Lonchura striata: one gene and its partner. The protein of the gene in region 2 interacts with the protein of the main gene of each other region in a pairwise test. Links are inferred from orthologs where the notes say so. Each region holds a gene or a part of one and is shown on either strand. Other genes may lie near its edges.

Region 1 (7,244 bases), on a different chromosome or scaffold from region 2:
TCCAGGGTGGATGAGAATGGTATTCTGCTTGTGATTCAGCACAAAACAGCTGATTTAATTCTTTGCAAAGGGAAGTTACAGTTTTTCAGCAGCAGAGAACAAACGTGTCCTTTCAGCCTGGATGACTTTTACTTTAGACTAATGGAAACAACAAAGACAGGAAAGAACAAACATAGAGCCTGGGGAGAGCACAGTGTGTGACTCACGGGTGGCAAGTGGCTCAGCAGCAGTTTGGATGTGGGGGACTGGTGTGCTCTTGAAGCTGCAGCTCTCAGGAACTGTTCTCCCTGGGCTTCCACTGCAGTAGCCAAGGGAACCAGGGGCTTGCTCAGGGTGGGATGGAAAAGTGTCTGCTTAGGCCAGGGGAATGGGGCTCATGGCAAGCAAGCCACAGGGCCATTAAGACACTGCATGTCCTTCACTGGGATAGCAAAAAACTGGAAATTCATAATCTGTTCTTTTTTACAGCAACCACAACTGAGAAAGAAAGGCAAAAAAAAAAAAAAATCACATTTGTTTGCAGAGCAGGGTAACACTTTTTTGGTATCCCTTTAATGGGATGTACAAAAATAGTGTAGGAATGACAGAAAACAATATAATGACATGACTGAAAGCATTCAAGTGATGGAACTTAATAGGTAAAAGAAACAGTTTTTGAACTTCCCTTTTAAACTAAACTGTAATTTAAAGTTAATATTGTGCTTTATTCTTTTCTAATATTGCATTGAGTGATGAATTTCATGGTACAGATGCTAATGGATATAACTGAAGTAATTTTGGTCTGGACACAGTTGGAATCTGTTGCTATTTATATTATAAAATTGTACTCAGTGCCAGCAGAGAAAGTGATTATTTAAACTGGGAAGCTTTGATATTGATGCCTTCCTGGCAGCTTAGTGGAGGAGTTGCAGAGTTCCTCATCTCTAAAGTGGTGCCAGTATCTTTGTGGACTCAGGTAAGAAAAGAACACAGGCTTTTCACAACAGTGACTCCTCTGAAGAAGTAATTGAAGATGGTTTGTCTTGCAGTTTCAACCCTGGTACTGAAACAGAGCTCAAAAGAGGAGACCCTTTATCTGACTCCACATGCTTCTACAATTCTTCCAGCTGAAGGGAGGAAATTGGGAGGTTTTTTTCTTTCTTTTACATTGCACAATATACACAATTTGTGAGCTGTGTATGTGCTAAGAGAGAAATTCTAGAGAAGTGCTCCTGCTGCAAAGTTCACTAGAGAAGCTGCAAGTGGGGAACTCTGGATGGCAGCCAAAAATCAGTCAGCAATGACCCTGCTATTACTGAGCACTTGGGGCATAAAGTCTTTTAACCAACATCTACAGTTTTAAGAAAGGTACCAGATTCGTGGTGCTCAGTTTTGTGTAAAAAGAATTCTACATGACTAAAATTCATGTTTTCTTTATTTGGCAGATGTTGCCAAGCTCAGATAATCAAGATTTTATGATCACTTTCCCAGCTCTACTGGAACTCTTGCTACCCTTATCAAAACAAAAAATATGCATATAGCTCAACTCGATGAGTGAAAAGAGCATTCTTGAAATAATATTTAGAAGGCATTTCCATCAGCAGTGCCCTGTTGTAGCCAAGGGCTCCATGACACTTTGTACTACTTGGAATCTGAACATATCAGTACAAACACATGTATTTGTGTTTGTGTATAAATATATATATATATATATCAATATCATAAAAACTAGTGTGCATCTTGTAGTTACTCAGTTGCCACTTTAAACTTGGATGTAAATGTGATAGGGAACTTCTACTTACAATATACAGCTACAAGAACTAGCAATATATACTGTGACTCAGTAAGGAAAATAAAATAGAGCTTTTCTTTGTATTCTCATCTTGCTGCTCTAAAAGATAACTGAATTTTTCTTACAACATAATTAATTTTAAAGTAGTAATATTTATATACTAAATACAGTGATTTTCTACAATAGTACTTTTCCTGCACGCATATATTAAATTATTCCATCTTGATTAGTAAATGCATAATTTTTAGTTACAAAATTCTGAGTTTTGAGAATTGTGAGCTACTACAGTTACATTTATATTTTACATAACCTACTATTATGTAAACATCTGATTGCAGTCACACAAAAAGTTACATTGACAAGAGTGTTTTACTAAGCATTTAGGAAAATTATGTTCTAATATAACTTATGGATACCAGGATAGTGTTCCCTCTAAAGTAAAAAGTTACTTGACTGTTTCGGCTTCTCATGAGTTCATAGCTATTCACAGCTTTCCTGTAGGTTTTTATTAACTGAGGCTGCTGTATATGAATGTTAATGTTACAAAGTGATATTTCTGTAATTTGTGTTATTCCCATTATCACCCTTTCAAAAATTCTGGTATCTAGCCCCCTAGTACCAATTTTATTTTGTTTCTAACAGCTATTTATTTGTTTAACTGTATTCCAATAAAGAAAAATAGGAAAGAATCAGACACTTTGCATATTGTAGTGAATAGTTACTAGGTAACATTATCAAATTTTCAAAAATAAAGGTACTGCCAGATATAATTTTCTAAACAACACAATGCATTTTTCTGGAGCATTAAAGATAGGAAGAACAGTCTAGACAAATGAAAAGACATTGCTTTACTCTTTTTAGCATTTCATGTTCAAGATGAAGGCATTTGTTCTTACATATTTAAGGATACTATTTCAAAACCTTCCCTTTCATTGTAAGACCACAACATGCTCACCTGCAGTTTTATGATGCCCAAAAAGAAGCATGCATTAAGAGATGATAGGAAGATTAGTAGCTAAAAAAGAGATTTACAAAGAGACAACAAACTAATGCTTTTGCTGGCACTTAAATACTAATTCAGCATTAAGATAGCTTGCGACATATAACAGCTACTTACTAGAGTATCTGAAGTGGTTATTCTGGTGGTATTTAGTCCTACCAGAGAAGGGAGAGTTTGGGACATCCAGTTAGAGATCATTGCCATGGTACTAAGAACAGCACCAAGCTTCAGCAGTGGAGGGCTCATTGCTGTGGAGCTAATGAGTTTTCATAGTGAGTGATTATCATCCCAGTGCAGGCTGGCAGCGAGAGGCGTGACTGCAGCACACAACATCCACAGCATGAAAGGAGATCAAGCTACCCAGATTTAGTCATCCATTAAAAACATCCATATCCTCATCTGCCCTCTTTCTGCTCTTACTAACAAATACTTATGACTGTCTTATGCTGACCACGAAATAAACAATCCTTTCTATGCTAATAGTCATTGCAGTTTCCAGTGGGAGATGGCATGGGTGAGTTATCCCTTTATAGGTGCTAGACAGTCAATTAGCCCTTAATTAGTTCAGTCCAGGCAGAGCAGTGTCTTCCTGTCTGAAATGCAAAAGCCTGAGCACAAATAACCCCCCCACTTTCCATCAGTGCTTCGGCAGAAATATGCTCAAGCCTGTTAGTAAATATGGTTCTGTACTTGTCCATGGGGAAGCAGAACTGTCAGCCTGCTCACCAAAGGGCCAGACACCTTTCTGGACCTCCTGGATTTGCTGATCTCTCATAAATTACAACATCAGAGACTTTTTTATTTGCACAGCTTGTTATTAAGATCTTTATTGTTCATAAAAAACCATTGAGGTGGTGAAGAGTCACATTTCTCAGTGTTCTTGTTAGTTTACAAGTTTTTGTACCAAGAATTATCGCATCACTCCCAGGGTTGGCAGACTCACTATGTCTTCATTGCTACTTGGATGAGAACAGAAGATAAATTGGGGATTGAACATTTTGGGACTTCTTTTGGCTTTGCTGTTAAATCTACTGCTCCCTAGTAGAATGAGCTGCAGGTTCTGTAGCGATTTATCTTGCTCATATATTGAGTGTAGGGGGGAGAGAAGCAGAAAAAACAGTCTAGAAATCATTGTGCCATAGGGGCAGCTTTACTTTTTAAGAATTATTTGTAAAAGAAGTGCTGAGCGAGGATTTCTAATGGCAGTTATTTAAGAGAAAACTTGCATAAAGTTTGCTGAGAGACAGGCTACTGCATTTTCCCCAGGGCAGTTATGGACTTAGTTTCTGGAGTTGCCTTGGCAAAGCAAATTACTTTTTCTTAAGGACTTCTGGCAGTGCTACGAAGGAACCCTGTGCGCAGTGAAACTGAAGGGATGTATATTTATGGGTGTTTGTCAACATGGAAGTATTTATTAAAGCCACTGTAACTCTGCAAACAGTTTTTCAGATTGTCAGGGCCTGTGCACCAATTCAGGCTAGACATTTCTCTTTCAATATCCATTCAGAATGATTTCTGTAAATATCTGCAGTTTAAGGAAGACACATGTCAACTTATTTCTTAAAAAAGAAATAGAAAAACCCATTGAGAGCTATTATATAAACTTAAGGAATCACCTAGCAACAGAATATAGAAAATCTGTGTATCCAGGTATTAAATATTTTGTGGTAGTTACATAGTAATGTGATCTGTGAAATGTTTTATATACTCAAAAAATTAATTCACTGAAGAGATCTGAATACAATGAAACACACTGAAATACATTGTTGCTAGAAGTTGTGCATAGATGGCAAATTTGAGAAAGGCTATGTGATCACAGCTGTTTTACTCAGAGTATTTTCTGTATTTCAGGAGATAAAGTTCATATAAGCTTGGATTACCTGATCATGGTCATTATGTACATTTCTCTGTAGAGAGTCCCTGTGGTCCATTCTTGATATGGTGATTTTGAGACTGAAAGCTGAGTCAGGCCTTGCCTCAGCCTGATGAAGGGCTTAGTGGGTGGAGGCATTTGAGCCTTTCCCTGAGCCAGTGTTTCTGTGGAAAGGGTCTCAAAGCTGTTCCCTGAACATGTGTGCAAACTGAACTGTCCTGACATCAGAAGTGAGCCTTTTTGCTGAACTGTCATTTGATAATGTTGGATAATTTTCCAGTTTTATTAGATTCTTCTGAAGTGTCTCAGCATCCTATCTAGACCTAATACAAAAAAAGATTCTAATTCATCTGTTTTATCACCTTTTTCTATTCCTGTCCTCTTTTAGAAGTTTAATAAGCACACTAATTCCCTTGGTTCCAAGACATTACCTGAATGTAATGACAGAATTTTGTTTTACCACACTGAATTGCAGCTTTTGGCATTTTTGGTTTTCTTCTCTTCTACATGTGCTGTTTCACAGAAGAATGTAATTGGTCTCCTCCTGAATTTTAACATCGGACAAAATACATTCAAAAGGCAATAAAAGAGTTTTCTGATGCCCAGATTAAAAACTACTGCTGGTCATCTTTTATGTAGGTATTGTCACCTCCTGGAAAGAATGCTGTTTGTTATTTTGATTATTCCTAACAGATGATATGCTCCTTTGTTCTTGTGACAGAATATTCATTAATGCAGTTATGCAGTTTAGCACTTTATTTTCTTCCAACTGGTTTAACTGCAGAAGAGAAAGCTTGCTGCCATGTGAATCCCAGTACTGCTGCTGGACACATCTTTACAGAGCTCAGCAGGAGGTGATCCTCTAGTTCCCTTGCTGGTTATATAATTTAACATTACCAGAGCTCTGGCATCCCTTTGGTGCTGAAGCCAGATCTGCTGTAGCTGCACAGGGGCTTTAAAGCCCCTCTGTGCTGCAGTGCAGGGATGGGGGCAGCTTCTACAAGTGTTTGGGAGCCTGGGGGCTGCAGGAGTGAGCTCACCTGAGCTGGAAACCTTTTCTGGCAGGGCTGCAAATACCTGGCAGCTGCAAAGGTAATGCCAGCCCAGGGGTGCTTACACAGACAGGGTAAGCACCTGCTCCCTGGGACTGTCATTATTCTGTGTATTCGATATTTTTATGTACCCATTTGTCAAGTATTGCTTCAGAGCACTATTGCTATAGATGATGTGCATGGGAACACAGTCTTAAAAAGGCTTCCTTCCTGAACAGTGGACATTCTCAATGAAATTATATTTTGTTTCTGTTTTTGCCAAACTGTATAAGTGTTTTAACCCCCTTTTTGTTAAAGAAATTGTGTTAAAAAATTTTTAGCTGTATTTTACAATAAATAATTGTGTAAATTAAAAAATGGCAAGCAAAGAGTAGAACATTTTTCTACATCTGAGGTCAAATATACAAAGATCGTACCTGAAGACACAGAATAACTGAAGAGTTATTCTCATATTGTTAGGAAGTAGAAAAAAAACTTTATGATCTGTTTCATTTCAGCTCTGTATTTTTTGTTTTGTTGGTTTTTATTTTAAAGCTGCAATTTCACATTTCTAGTTTATGATTAACTGCTCTGAATAAAGCTAGAATGCAACAGCAATTCTAAAATTTGAACAATATTCTTTATTTCCCTAAATACTTGCTAGTATAACTTCCTGTTTTAGTTAACTTTGTCTAAAGTCAGTAGAAGCTGAAGCATCCATACAGAATAACTTCAGATGCCATATTTTGATCTTACATAAAAGTCTATCAGTCTGTAGCAATTTCAATGTTGTTAACATTATTGTATGCTAGTCCTGTAATATTCAATTACTGTATTACAAATTACTAGGGTCATTAAAGGTATTATTTAAGACCCTTATTTAATAAATAGTCTAAAGGCTCTTCTAGTCTTTGATATTTACTTTCACTTTGAGATCCTGTTACATTTTGATAGGGATTAAGTCTACTGAAAATGATAATACATCCCAACATTATCTTATTACAACCGAGGCAGTAGGACCTGTGTGCTGTAAAAAGTAATTAACGTCAGTATTAGGAACGGCAACAGAGCAAATGTCCTGAGTCAGCAACAGGTGAAAATATACCCAGCCACCCACCCAAAAACTAATTACCTCCTGGCCAGAGGAAAGCATTGATTGTAAGAAAGAGGAAATTGTGAAGTTCCCTCGCAACCACTTAACCCTCATGTTAGTGTATTTAATATATATAAAAAACAGTGCTACCTTAAAAATTTGTTACAATTCAAAATTGTGTTCATGGGTAAATGCTATTGTGTAAACACTTGAAACCTGAAGTTTGATGTTGAAGTGATTGCACACTCATGGCTCACCCAGCTTAACTACATTCCTTTGAAGCAGAGCAAAATCAGGAATCCTAAATCTCAGTAAGTTTGGACTTTGACAGGTTAGGTTTAGAAAGTAAGCTCAAGAAGAAAGGCCAAAGCTTCCCTCATTGCACTGTTCTATAGTGTATTTAGTTCTTTATCTTCATGTGATGTATTGTGTAAGTAGTACATTGGTTCAAAAAATGGCAGTTCATTAGTTATGTT
Region 2 (7,343 bases):
TCGAAATGCCCCACGCGCTGCGGGGAGGAGCGCGGGGAAACCGGTTACTCCACGTGCCCGCGCTCAGCCCCGAGGCGCAGGCGGCGTGAGGCCAGCGCCGCGTGGCATCTGCCCTGGCACCCGGGCACCTGCCCGCAGGAAGAGGGAGAGCCCCTCAGAGGTGCCTCCCAGCAGGATGAGGGCAGGTCAAGGTGTGAGACCCCCGCCAAGAGCCGCCTCCGCTTTGGGCAGGGCCTGGCAGCACCTGCTCCACAGGGAGCTGCCCGGGCAGGTAACTGGGACCAAACCCAAGGAGCCTGTGGAGCCCCGAGTTCAGCAAAAATATGCCTTCCCACCCAGGCAAGGTCCTGGGAAAGCCCCCTGCAGTACCTGGAGATGCTCCTCAATGTCCTTCCTGTCGTAGGTGATCCCGCTGGGCGTGATGCAGGGCTCTCTCATCAGCTCAAAACTGATCTTCCCACACAGGTAGTCAGGGATGTCCCGCTTCTGTCTCGAGAGAGGCACAGCTGGGTCAGGAAAGGGGGCTGGGAGGTGGTGCTGGCTCAGAGCGGGGAGCAGGGTACACAGAAGGTTTACAGGAGCACAGGCTGGGCCACACTCACCTTCCTCTTCTCGTCCACTTGGGAGAAGAGCTCGTCCATGTCTGCCAGGTATTTGTCCTGAAAGAGAAGCTCTTGAGGACAAGGGGTCCCTGGTGTGCAGGGGCTACAGGACCCCAGGGAGAGCCCCAAAGCCTCCCATCATGGGTGCTGTGGCCGGTCCTTGGTGCCCCCTCTGCCTGTGCAGCTCCTGGCTGAAGCTGGCAGGAGCAATCCAGCTTACAAATAACCTTCCTTTGTGGGCCTATTTTTATCTGGGATTAGTCCCCAGCACCCAGACCCACATGTGGCTGAGAGCCACTTGTGTTTCCTCAGGGAACAACAGGCACAGCAGGTGTCACCGCTGCCAGGCTGGGACAAGAGGTGGCAGAGCAGGGGAAGCCATCATGGGGGGACACAACAGGCCTGCAGTGGTGGCTCGAGCTACAGAATGAAGGCTACGGTCCCAAGGTCTCCCAGCTTTCACCTGCACAGCTGCAGCCCTGCCGCTTCCCTGGGTGCAGCAGAGCCTGAGGACAAGGATGGGGACGAGGATGGGGACGGGGAAGCCCCCAGCCCCCCACTCACGTGTTTGGCCTCGATGCTGGCCAGCTGAACACGGCTCCGGCTCTCGTCTGTGTTTTCCTCCTGCTGAGTCTTTCGGCACTCCGCCAGCTCCCTAGGACAGAGTGGGACATCAGGAGGATGGGGAACACTGGCACTCCCTTCCCTGCTGCAGGGCTCTGCAGAGACACCTCACACAGAGCAGTGACAGCCTGGTGGCACTCAAAAAGCTTCTCCAGGTGCCCCGTTACCTCTCCTTCTCGGCCACGATCAGCTTGGTGAGGTGGGAGTGCAGCTCGTTCTCCTGGTTGATGCGCTTCTCCTCAATGCTGTTCCAGCGCTTCTTCTTGGCGATGCGCAGCGCACTGGGGATGTCATCCCCGAAATTCAGCCGCTGCTCCTTGGCGAGGTTGTAGGCTGAGGAGAGAAAGGGCACCCCAGCGCCAGCGTCCCTGTCGCCCTCCCTGGCCCTTTCCCAGCCGACAGGAGCAGGGGACAGTGGCAGCGTGCCCGCTCACCTCTCTGCAGGTTGGCGATGGCCTCGTCGTAGTTTTCCATCTCCATCTGGCACTGGCCCAGGAAGAAGTGAGCCTTCACGGACTGCCCGTCCAGCTCCAGCGCCCGCTTGCAGTCGGCCAGCGCCTTGTCGTGCTGCTGCATCTTCAGGTAGCACAGGGCCCGGTTGGTGTAGTACACGGCCACCAAGGGGTTCCGGTTCTGCAGGGACAGGCCCATGTCGGTGCCGGCGGCAGGGCCGGGACGTGCTGGTGACAGCCCGGTGACTCGGTGAGCCAGCGGCACGGCGCCGTCACCCTGGGCAGGGAGAGCCAGCAGTGCCAGCCAGGGTGTGCACCCCGTGGGGAGGTGCTGGCATGGATTGGGGACGGGCTGGGGCCGGTCCCCATAGGGCAGCCCATGGCCCAGCCCCCACAGGGGACTGTCCCCCAGACACCTCGACTGTCCCAGGCTGGGTCTGCCCTACCCAGCACAGCCCAGGGACAGTGCGGGGCTTGGGGAAACAGGCTCAGGGGGTGCAGGGCAGGCCAGCTTGGAGTGGGGTGGGGAGAGGATGGGCTGGGGGTGTCCAAGTCCAGAGAGCGGGCCAGGGTCGGGGGGTGCCTAGGCCAGGCCTAGGGGTGGTAGTCCAGGCCCAGGAATGGGGGGAAGCAGGCCCAGAGCTGTGTCCAGCCCTCCCCAGGAGGAGCCAGGCTCAGGGAGGGAACAGTGTCCAGATTAAAAGGTCCCATGTCAGGGGTGTCTTGGCCAGGCCCTGAGGAAGAACAGCGCCCAGCCCGAGGAGGTTCCATCCTGGTGATGCCCAGGCCAGGGCCCGGGAGATGTCCAGGCAGGGGGGAGGCAGGATGGATGTCCCATCTTGCGGGAGTCACGGCCCGGTGTGTGGGGGCTGTCCCATCCCTGGGGACCCCACCCAGCGCTGGCCAGGCCAGCTCCGGGCGGGTGTCCAGGCCAGGGGGGAGGTTCCAGCCCGGGGCCATCGAGGCCAGGGGGGAGGTTGGTGTGTCCCGTCCCGGGGTACCCAGGCCGGGGCGTCCCCTCCCCGGAGCTCCCGTGGCGGGGCCGGTCCCGCTGGGGCCGGGGGCGCCGCCGGGACTCACGATGGCGCGGCCGTAGCAGGCGGCGGCCTCGGGGTACTTGCGGCCGCCGAAGAGCCGGTTCCCCTGCTCCTTGTGCTCCTGCGCGCTGTGGCTCTTCTCGGGGCTGCCGCCACCCGCGCCCCCCGCGCCCGGCCCCGCCGCGCCGGGCCCCGCCGCGCCGCCCTCGCGCTCCTCCTTGCCCTTCATGGCGCGGCCCGGGCCGGCGCTGGGGCCGCGGCTCCGCTGGCTCGGCGGCCCCGGCGGCTCCGCTGGCTCGGCGGCCTCGGCAGCCCCGGCAGCCCCGGCGGCTCCGGCTCCGCCGCGCACTGCGACAGCGCCGCTTCCGGGGCGGGGCGGGGCGGGGCCTCGGCAGGACGGGACGGTGCCCGGTGGGCGGGGCTAACGGCAAGGGGCGGGGATATGCATATGAGGGGCGTGGCCAGCCCGGCGGATTGGGCGGGGCGCCCGCGGTGGGCGGGGCTAAAGACAGATTGGCGGGGGCGTGGTCAGTGCCGGGTGGGCGTGGCCTGGGTGTGGATTATGGGATTGAATAGGGGATGGTGGATGGAGGGCATTGGGGTGTGGTTTGTGGGTTTATGGACTTTAATGGGGTTTGTGGGGTTTGAGGGGTTTGATGGGGTTTGTGGGGTTTATGGGGTTTGATGGGGTTTGATGGGATTTGATGGGGTTTGTGGGGTTTATGGGGTTTGATGGGGTTTGATGGGATTTGATGGGGTTTGTGGGGTTTACGGGGTTTGATGGGGTTTGATGGGGTTTATGCGGTTTGTGGGGTTTATGGGGTTTGATGGGGTTTGATAGGGTTTGTGGGGTTTATGGGGTTTGATGGGGTTGATGGTGTTTATGGGTTTATGGGGTTTGTGGGGTTTGATAGGGATTGTGGGGTTTATGGGGTTTGTGGGGTCTGTGGGGTTTGATGGGGTTTGATGGGGTTGATGGTGTTTATGGGTTTATGGGGTTTGATGGGAGGGGGGCGTACAGAGTAGTGCAGGATGGATGAGGGGCCTGGCTGGAGGGGATGGGGGTGAATGAAAAGGGGGATGGGGGAGGCGGCACGGAGCTGATGGGGGGTGGGTGTGAGTAGGGGGTTGGGGGTTTGGGGGTGTGAGTGGGGCGGGTCCGGCGCCTGCAGCCAGCGCTGTGTGCGCTGCAGCGGGGGGTGCAGGGAGCGGGGTGGTCTGCAGACCCCCCCTCACCCCCGCGCCCCAGCCCCGCGGGGCCCGGCCCGGCGCCGCTCCACTGATCCCGGAGTTTTCTGCTCCAGTAATTCCCGAGCCCGGCTGAGCCCCCGCCCCGCCGCCCATCGGGGATGGGGGCACCCCCAAACCCCCGCCCCCGACAGAGACACGAGCCCCCGCAGTGTGCAAAATATTTATTTATACTTCAAAAAGGTCTGGGGGGGGTTAGAGCGGGGACCCCCCGCGCCCCCATCCCGAGCCAGGCCCCCGTGCCGGGGGTCAGCAAAGCGGGCCCGGGGCGCGGGGAGGGGGGCTGTGCCTCCGAGGGCACTGCCAAAATGATTGTGCCGGTCTCAGCCGATTCCTGCCGGGCTCTCCCCGTATCCTTCTTTTTATTCTTTTTTATTATTATTATTATTATTATTCCTCTTTCTTTTATTTATATTTATTTTGGCATAGAAAAATAAATGGCTCCTCTTTTGGCACCAGTCCTTCGTGTGCAAGTGCAGGTCCTGGAAAGGGGGTCCGGGAGCCGGCGGGGGTCCCCGGGCCCGGCTCCTTCCCGAGGGGCGGCGGCGCCGGGGCGGGGCCGGAGCTTCCCCTGGGGCCGGGCACAGCGGGGGCGGCGGGGACACCGGGGCGGGCGGCGCGCTCGCTAGCACCGAGGGGACGGGCGGCGGGGTGGCCTGTCCCCATGTCACGCGCGGGGACCCCCCAGCCCCTCCGCCGGGCTCGGCAAACAAACGAACCGCAGGGTCGGGGCGAGGGGGCGGGCTAGGGCGGGGGGGGGATCTGTGCCCCCAGCAGGTCGTAGGCGAAGATGTTCCAGAAGACGGCGAAGAGCAGGAAGGTGCCGTAGGACAGCAGCAGCACCCACCAGCCGCACTGGTCCTGCAGGCTCTCCTCGTAGCTGCGCAGGATGGTCAGCCCCATGCTGATGCCCACGATGGCCCCCGCCAGGTGCGCCATGAAGCTGGGCTGCGGCCCCGAGGCCGGCAGCGGCGGCGAGAAGCGGAGCCAGACGGCGCGGCCGACCTCGGAGCTCACTGCGGGACGGGCCGGAGCTGCTGAGCCCGCCCGGGGCCGCGCGGCCGGGGCCAGGGACGGGGGCGGTACTCACTGCACACCAGCGCCAGCACCATCCGCAGCAGCTTGTAGGGACAGCGCATCCCGGCCCAGTTCTGCGGGAACGGCAGCGAGGAGGGAGGGAGGGAGGGATGGATGGATGAAGGATGGATGGATGGATGGATGGATGGATGGATGGATGGATGGACAAGGGATGGATGGATGGATGATGGATGATGGATGGATGGATGGACAAGGGATGGATGGATGGATGATAGATGGATGGATGGATGGATGGATGATGGATGGATGGATGGATGGATGATGGATGATGGATGGATGGATGGATGGACAAGGGATGGATGGATGGATGATGGATGGATGGATGATGGATGATGGATGGATGGATGGATGGATGATGGATGGATGGATGGATGGATGGACGGATGATGGGCTGGCACAAGCAATGCTCCAGCACAGAGGTGGGGACTGCTGCCAGAGCCCCTGGAATGCCCCATGGAGCCCCCTCAGGTCCCTGCTCCTTCCCACCCACACCCACCCCATGTCTCCCAAGGTGGTCCCTCTGTGACAGTGCCACCCCTAATGCCACCCCACAGCATCCCCCACCAATGCTGCCCACCCACAGTGCCAGCCACCCCATGGCATCCCTCCATAATGTCCCACCACCATGCCCAACCTGCAGACAGCTCCCGTCCCCATTGTCACCCCATGGCATCCCCCACCGTGCTGCCCACCCTACAGAGTCATCCACCCCTGTCCCCCCTTCTGTGTCCCCTTGTCCCCTGGCTGACCATGACGACGTTGGCGAGGTGAGCAGAGCAGAGGGCGTAGACCCCCCCCGAGCCCCCGACCAGGGGGGCCCTCATGTCCGTGATGGAGACCGTGAGGGAGCCTGGGGGCACAGACAGGGCTCAGCACGGGGTCTCGCCCCCACAGCATTCATTAATTACTGTCTACATTAATTAATTACAGCCTGCATTGCCCCCCAGCCCCTGGCCGAGTGATGCTGGCACTGCAGGGTGGCAGCCAGCAGAGCCCAGCATCCCCACCAAACTCGGTGTGACCTCCCCGTGCCCCCCCGGGCTGGTGACAGGGACGGGGGGGATGGGGACAGTCCCCCCGGGGAGCACCCACCTGCCAGGACCCCGGCCAGGTAGAGGAAGCTGATGCGCAGGATGCCGTGCACCATCTCCAGGGGCACCCCGATCATCAGCTGCAGGAGGGCGTTGAACCCCAGCTGCTCCAGCCTGCCCGGGCACAGGAGGGGACAGGCTCAGCCTGCAGAGCCCCCGGGATGTCCCCAGCGTCCCCCCCCAGCGGGACCTACCCCACGTGCATGAACATGTAGGTGAGGAAGCGCCAGGCGCGCGCCCGGTGCCCGGGGTGATAGACCAGGGGGCTCTTCATGTACTCGGGGTGGTAGGTCTGCAGCACCCACTTGTTCAGCCGGGCCCCGTAGCACAGGAACACGATGATCTGTGACAAACCCCGTGGCTGTCACCCCCCTTCACCCCACATCTGAGCCCCACAAGGGCACCAGGATGTCACAGCTGGGGTCACCCATCCCCCCTGCCCCAGCTCTGAGTCCCACGCGTGGGCACAAGGAGGTCACAGACAGGGTCCTCACTCCCTTCGCCCCAGATGTGAGCCCCCCAAGGGCACCAGGACATCACAGCTGGGGTCACCCGTTCCTCCTACCCTGGATCTGAGCCCCTCCATGGGTCCCACCCATGAGCACAAGAACATCACCACTGGGGTCACCCATCCACCTCTGTCCCGGGTCTCAGCACCACCAAACGCACCAGGACATCACAGCGAGGGTCACCCAAACCTTCACCCCCTATCTGAGCCCCTCTGTGGGCACCAGAACATCACGACTGGGGCCCCCCAGCCCCACCGCCCCAGGTGTGGGCACAAAGCTGTCACCTGCAGGGTCACACATCCCTTCAGGTCAGCTCTGCGTGCACAGCAGCTCACAACCGTGCTGCCCGCCCCGGTCTGATCCCTGCCGAGGTCCCCGGGACCCTCCCGCCGTGCCGTACCTGGGTGAGGGTGACGGCTGCCATGAAGACGGGGGGCGGGCAGGTGCGGTGCTGGTAGAAGTACCAGCGCCGGTCCATCTCGCAGGGCAGGATCTCGTAGGCCACGTAGCGGACGAAGCGTTTGTAGATGCCGAGGCCGGTCTCGTCCAGCAGGACGTCGCGGGGCAGCGCCCGCTGCCCGTTGGCGATGGCGCGCTTGAAGCTGCTGGAGCGCTTGCTGCTCATCTGCGGGGAGAGACCGCGGGGGCAGCTCGGGACCGGCCTGGGGCCGCCCCCGGCCCG

What was found. The genes of interacting proteins can lie anywhere in the genome.
Region 1: the proteins of STUB1 (region 2) and OLFM3 interact in binary tests that used the Homo sapiens proteins (3 or more experiments, as listed by UniProt). The two-hybrid records come from large-scale screens. The link is inferred for Lonchura striata from reciprocal best matches to the Homo sapiens genes STUB1 and OLFM3.

Annotation. Positions count from the first base shown.
Region 1 is NC_134611.1:23,251,661-23,258,904, forward strand, and holds the start of OLFM3 (noelin-3), read right to left. Parts: upstream 3,018-7,244; coding exon 2,882-3,017; coding exon of another isoform or gene 2,872-2,881; intron 1,484-2,871; coding exon of another isoform or gene 1,477-1,483; intron 1-1,476.
Region 2 is NC_134618.1:3,128,793-3,136,135, forward strand, and holds the start of STUB1 (E3 ubiquitin-protein ligase CHIP), read right to left. Parts: upstream 3,011-7,343; 5' UTR 2,945-3,010; coding exon 2,759-2,944; intron 1,860-2,758; coding exon 1,661-1,859; intron 1,560-1,660; coding exon 1,394-1,559; intron 1,258-1,393; coding exon 1,167-1,257; intron 660-1,166; coding exon 603-659; intron 487-602; coding exon 370-486; intron 18-369; coding exon 1-17. Other genes in the region: RHBDL1 (rhomboid-related protein 1), read right to left, coding at 4,708-4,979, 5,054-5,114, 5,811-5,911, 6,154-6,266, 6,347-6,495, 7,062-7,286. UniProt on the Homo sapiens protein: E3 ubiquitin-protein ligase which targets misfolded chaperone substrates towards proteasomal degradation.